Saccharomyces cerevisiae S288C: one gene and its partner. Changing the gene in region 1 together with any one later gene gives a genetic interaction. Each region holds a gene or a part of one and is shown on either strand. Other genes may lie near its edges.

Region 1 (2,652 bases):
ATTCGGTATTAGAATTACTTGTGATGACGAATCACAATGTGAAGGCCTACCATGCTCCATTGACCCAAGTTCTAATGGAGTCAACGAAGTGACAAGTTCTGGCGGTGGTTCTTCCGGGGCTGGTGGTGGAAACTTTTGTGTTGTCACCGCCAGAAACGGCGCCAAGGCCAACATCGAAGTTTTTGATGTTGGTAGCGGCTCATCTTCTAAAGGCAAGAGAGAACTGAATCCGCTAGACGTTATTACCACAACGGTCACCGAGACCAAGTACAAGACAGTCACCGTCACTGCCAAAACTTAGCGCGGTTTTTTCTACCTTCCCTTTTTTCATCTTTTTGTTATATATATATACAGAGACACTCATGCGAATTTTCGCAAAACGAAGAAAAAAACATAAAATTTTCGTTTGTATCTACATGACTATCCTTTAATTATTACCTTTCTGTCAAATGTTTTATGGGAATATATATGTTAATATGAGCCAATAACTCACTAAAAACTCACTGATTTCGTTCCCTCTGTTTAGCTTCCTGCTCGATTCTCTTGATGGTCTGCTCTCTCTTAAAGTCGATGACCCTCTTCTCCTTGAAGTACTTGATCCAGCTATGGGCGCAATTCTCCTCAAATTTTTCATTTTCCACCTTGCAGTGCGACTTTATACTCTTGCTATTCTTGGGGTCCATTGCGTCCAAGATGTCTGCCTTGTCCAAACACTGGAAGAATGCGTCCCTGGACTCCCAGCACAACTTTCTCTGTGAACGGGTATTAGGGGGTTGTGATTCCTTTTTGCCACCATCAAATGAAAATAAGCCCATCGCTATATTACTACTATTCCTTTCTGTATATTCGTGTATCTATGTTCCTGCGCAGCGCTACAATAGTACCCGTCTATGTATGTATGTATGTATGTATGTAGGCGAATCTTCTCCCCCATTCTACAAAGCAGCACCTACCACCGCAGCACCGTTTCACATGTCCGTCTCTTTTGTTCAGCTCAGCTACAATCGTCAATCGCACTTTCTTCCGCGCGGGCGAGCCCGGTTTTGTTGGATTTGCTCAGGTGCCAATATACCATCAAGGAACGGACAGGGACCTGACAATACAATAGGCCATTTACATCACAATGCACAGGGACAGAAATTTATACACGATAACAATACCAACTAAACAAAAATATCTCCCGAGCCGATGCTTATTCCGCGGGTTCGATGCCGAAATAATTGTTGCATACGCTTTATCCAACACGATGGAGCGTGTTGGGCGCTTAAAGAAGAGACTCACTAAACTGTTCGGCTTTTTGGCTGCGCGTCTTTGCCGTTTCCCAACAAAAAACAATCATACTTAGTAACAAGAAAGACAAAAGCGCAAACCGAACCGCCCAGCTCAACCATCTTCGCCAAGTAGCGGCAAACTTATATAAGCTCCAACGATGTCCCCATCAATTAAGAACCCTCGATTGTCGGCGATCTATTTTTCTATTCTGGGTGTTTCTCGGCCTTCGTTCATCTCGTTCTTTCTACTCTTAGCCCTCATCTTTCTCTTCTGCATTCTTTTCACCTCATTAAGAACATTCGCGGCGCCGCTTTACCCCAACAAAAACAGCCCATCTTTTGTTCTACCTCTTTCAGATAAGGCTCAACAGATAGACAATAACTGATCATTCTTTCTTTTGTTTGCAACCCCTCTGAGTTGACATAAAAGCGAGAATACAAAAGAACCAGCATTAGTAACACATCATTTTTTTCTCTGTTCTTCACTATTTCTTGAAAAACTAAGAAGTACGCATCAAAATGACCGAACAATATTCCGTTGCAGTTGGCGAAGCCGCCAATGAGCATGAAACCGCTCCAAGAAGAAATATCAGGGTTAAAGACCAGCCTTTGATTAGACCCATAAACTCCTCAGCATCTACACTGTACGAATTCGCCCTGGAATGTTTTACCAAGGGTGGTAAGAGAGACGGTATGGCATGGAGAGATATTATAGATATACATGAGACGAAAAAAACCATAGTCAAGAGGGTGGATGGTAAGGATAAGCCCATCGAAAAAACATGGTTGTACTACGAACTGACTCCCTACATAACCATGACATACGAGGAGATGATCTGCGTAATGCACGACATTGGACGTGGGCTGATAAAGATTGGTGTTAAACCTAACGGTGAGAACAAGTTCCACATCTTTGCCTCTACTTCTCACAAGTGGATGAAAACTTTTCTTGGTTGCATGTCACAAGGTATTCCTGTGGTCACCGCGTACGACACTTTGGGTGAGAGCGGTTTGATTCACTCCATGGTGGAAACAGATTCCGTCGCCATTTTCACGGACAACCAGCTGTTGTCCAAATTAGCAGTTCCTTTGAAAACCGCCAAGAACGTAAAATTCGTCATTCACAACGAACCCATCGATCCAAGTGACAAAAGACAAAATGGTAAGCTTTACAAGGCTGCCAAGGATGCTGTTGACAAAATCAAGGAAGTTAGACCGGACATAAAAATCTACAGTTTCGATGAAATTATTGAGATAGGTAAAAAGGCCAAGGACGAGGTTGAATTGCATTTCCCCAAGCCTGAAGATCCAGCTTGTATCATGTACACTTCTGGTTCCACTGGTACACCAAAGGGTGTGGTATTGACACATTACAACATTG
Region 2 (3,760 bases), on another chromosome or scaffold:
GGTAACAGGTTGTCTAAAAGATTTGGGGGTACACTGAAACTGAAGAAACGGTTAGAGTCTGTTCCAGAATTGTTCTTACATGATTTCAAGAAGAGGCCACGCTCCCAACTTGAGGTGATTAGAGAGAAAAAATTTACTGACATGCAAGTTCCCAAGGGACCAGTTTGTCCTCAAAGCACGATTCTACCATTACGAGAAAGAAAGAAGGTAAAATCACTACCAATTCAAAGAAAAAGTTTACGTAGGCCGACGCTGTCAAAGCCTGCAGTAGTACAATCTTTAGGGCATAAGACACATTCGGATCATATTATTGATAAAGTGTTTGTCTCTCGCCCGGCCCCAATTGTAATGCCTGTAAAAGCCCTTACTCCTATTAATCCGGTCTCCCTAATGCAAACACAGACACAAGATTGCTGTAGAAAAAATAAGTATGGCAAAAGCGGTAGTGAAATATTGTTTGACGAAATTCTATCAGCCTATGAAAACGTTTCTACAAGCGATTCTACTGCCCTAAATTCAGAAATTGACAGAATTATCGATATATGCGCTTCAAAACAAATAGCTAAAAAAAATGAGGCATTTCAGGTACCATATGTCGTCTGCCCTGACGACACAGAGACTTTGTTTTCGTCAACAACACCAAAGTTGAAACCTGTCAATTCTAACACATTAAACGATGTCATTTCTAGCCCAGAATACACCACGTCTGGATGCAGTACATACTCTGACCAATCGAATTCAGATGAGGAATTGTCCGAAGTAGAAAGTATAGTATGGAACACGAATAAGAGGACAATGAGATCATCCATTGTGTCTGAAAGCACTAGTGAGGAAGGCTATTGCACTGCTGCGGAGACTTTGCCCTCAACAGTATCAGTGGAAGATCTGGATATACATAACAAGCTTCCAAAAGTTGCACAAACATCATCGTGCAATACGCTTTTGAATAAACTCTCTATAAGAAAATTAAAAAAAGTAATTCTCGATCCGCCTAAAATAATGCATGTCATGACTTTTGACGATGACAGTGATGATGGAGATGACAACGATGACGAGGATAGGGCTTTGAATATTCTTCAAAAAAAAATTGACTGCATTGAAATAGCAAGTTGCAGCAGTAGCATTTACAGCGAATAAAAAAATTTATTCTAGGTTTCAAGTAAAATCATACGTATATAAGTAGAATAATGGCATGAGCGGTGACACATTGTGTATTTGCACCAGAGGTGGTCATCAATAGAAAAGTGTCACAATTTCAACGATAAATGGCCGCTTATGTCGCACCTTTTGTAGTATTACCCGCAAAGGATCATAATGAAGAACTACTATGGCTACATATAAACAGAGCAGTTAGATACAGTGCGTCTTATAAGGGCATTTTTGAGCATAAAGCACAACAGGTTGAACTCAAGAAAACTACATTTCACTATCAATGGCACCCACACAATTGGATATAAAAGTCAAGGCCTTGAAGAGGCTGACTAAGGAGGAAGGGTACTACCAACAAGAACTGAAAGATCAGGAAGCACATGTGGCAAAACTTAAAGAAGACAAGTCAGTTGACCCATATGACTTGAAGAAACAGGAGGAGGTCCTTGATGACACAAAAAGATTATTACCTACTTTATATGAGAAGATTAGAGAATTTAAAGAGGATTTAGAACAATTTCTAAAAACTTACCAGGGTACCGAAGATGTCAGTGATGCAAGATCCGCTATTACGTCTGCACAGGAATTACTCGATTCTAAATAATCTATAGATAACCTTTTTCTTACCTTTTCGCATTTATTTTGATGCAGGTTTTTATACTTTATTATGTACAAACCTGTTGCGGATGAATAATAAATCTCGCTAGAAAATGCACGGAATATTATATGCAAAAGTAGAAAAGTGGAAGACGGCTGTTGATACAGTGACGAGATATAAGAACATTTTACTCTATATTTAAAAAGAACTTTATTAATCTATTTAATTGAGTTAACACCTTTAATGCCATCGATATGGATTCTCGAGTTGCACTGGTACGAAAATACATAGCACCATCGGTGATAAAAAGCGATTCTATTCAATTGCACGGTTTAGTGAAGGCACCACTATTTAAAGCGTTGAATAGCCGTTACAAATTAGGTTCACTACAGATAGTACAGGATGTCGATTGGAATGCGAAGACAACACCATCCGATTCTCCAGAGCCTCTGGCCGCTACTCTAAACTCTAATCGATCCCTACCAATGACTAAGTTCCCCAAGCAGGAGATCTTGGAACAGGTAAAATTGGATACTAAGGTTGGCAAATGGAGGAAATTCATGACAGGTTGGTTTAGAATTGGATTGTATCTTTTAAAAAGCTATAAAACAGGAATTCAGAACACGTTAAAAGTATTCTGGGATACTCGAAACGAAGAGCAGAAATTCAGCATAAAAAACGGTGCATTGGCTAACTTAGTACGGGAAATAGAAATGCATGAAATCAATACAAGACTATCGTCTTCATCATTGCCTACAAGTTCTTCAGCAAAAGCCCCATTAAGGCCACTTTCAATCAATAGGAAAACACTGGTGGAACTGATCAGACGAGATCAAATCTGGAAATTACCTGTATTTTTCACCTTAGTATTCATATTTGAGGAGGTAAGTGTATTGATCTTTACCTTTTTTCCACGTGTCTGTCCGTACAATTGTTTAACTCCTGGTGGATACAAGAAGCTTTCCAACTCATATATCAAGGGAACAACAAGCACACAAGGTAACTACGGTCTGGGTCCCTTAGAGTTTACTAAGCAAGGTACAATTAAGTATGAGCCACCATATGCAGTTCCTATTGAGAATTTGTATAATTTTCTGACAAGCTTTCCTCAAAGTATGATATCAAACTGGAAACTGTATATTTATAAAAAGTTAAAATTACAGAAGCTACTTTGCAATGAGATAGAAAAAATTTACCAGTATCTGTTTATCGATGACTGGTTGCTGTTGCAGAGTATACTCAACACTGATGTTGAGAAAACTAAAATCGCGCTAAGTGATAGAGAATTGGTTAACTGTATACTTGAAAGAAAACTTTATCACATGGGCGATGACTTGAATGAGATGGTTAATGACACGTTAGGGAAAGAAATCTTACTGAAAAGATTGTTTCTTTATTGGACATTAAGATATAATGACACTATATCCTTAAACGGAAAGCATACATTCAGTGAGAAATGGGGTGTCAACAATATATCATTGTTAAAATATAATTCAGAATTGGTAGCTACGAAAGATATTCAATAGATGTAAATATTCATGACATTATCTATGCTGTACATATTGTTTAAAACAAAAACTCTTTTAAACTTTTCTAATTGCAAATTCAAACAATAATTCAGTGATGTTTCTTGCTTTTGGAGCAAAGGGCAATGTTACTCTATATTGTATGTATAATATGATAGATACTCTTCCGTATATATAGTATATAGATTTTCGTCAAGCGTTTCAATTGGAAAGTGAAAGAAAAAAATAAGAAAAAATAGAAAATACAATTAAATTAATCGAAAAAAGAAGTGAAAATAATTGAGTAGTTCGTATTAAACCTTGTAGGTCTCTAAGTGAGCATTTTCCTCCCTAACCAATGTATGGTGATGGCCAGGCGCTCTAATAACTTTATTTTTTGAATCCATGGTACAGGCAGCAATGGCGGCAAACCATTCATCATTAAAAATATCATCTAAGGTTGCTCTTTTCTTTGGATCTACTTGCAGTATACGGGACATGATAGGTC

The links. Genes that interact genetically often act in the same process or in processes that back each other up.
Region 2: mutations in COA6 (region 1) and PNT1 together harm fitness more than expected from each alone (negative genetic interaction), as found in Saccharomyces cerevisiae (2 studies listed by BioGRID).

What each region holds. Positions count from the first base shown.
Region 1 is NC_001145.3:758,017-760,668, forward strand, and holds COA6 (Coa6p), read right to left. Parts: upstream 816-2,652; coding exon 501-815; downstream 1-500. Other genes in the region: YMR244W (uncharacterized protein), read left to right, coding at 1-301; long-chain fatty acid-CoA ligase FAA4, read left to right, coding at 1,791-2,652. UniProt on the Saccharomyces cerevisiae protein: Involved in the maturation of the mitochondrial respiratory chain complex IV subunit MT-CO2/COX2. Thereby, may regulate early steps of complex IV assembly.
Region 2 is NC_001147.6:819,022-822,781, forward strand, and holds PNT1 (Pnt1p), read left to right. Parts: upstream 1-2,001; coding exon 2,002-3,273; downstream 3,274-3,760. Other genes in the region: DSE3 (Dse3p), read left to right, coding at 1-1,137; RBL2 (Rbl2p), read left to right, coding at 1,433-1,753; putative serine/threonine protein kinase HRK1, read right to left, coding at 3,567-3,760. UniProt on the Saccharomyces cerevisiae protein: Probably involved in mitochondrial export. Confers resistance to the anti-pneumocystis carinii drug pentamidine. May act by the removal of pentamidine, or its damage targets, from the matrix by an active-transport mechanism.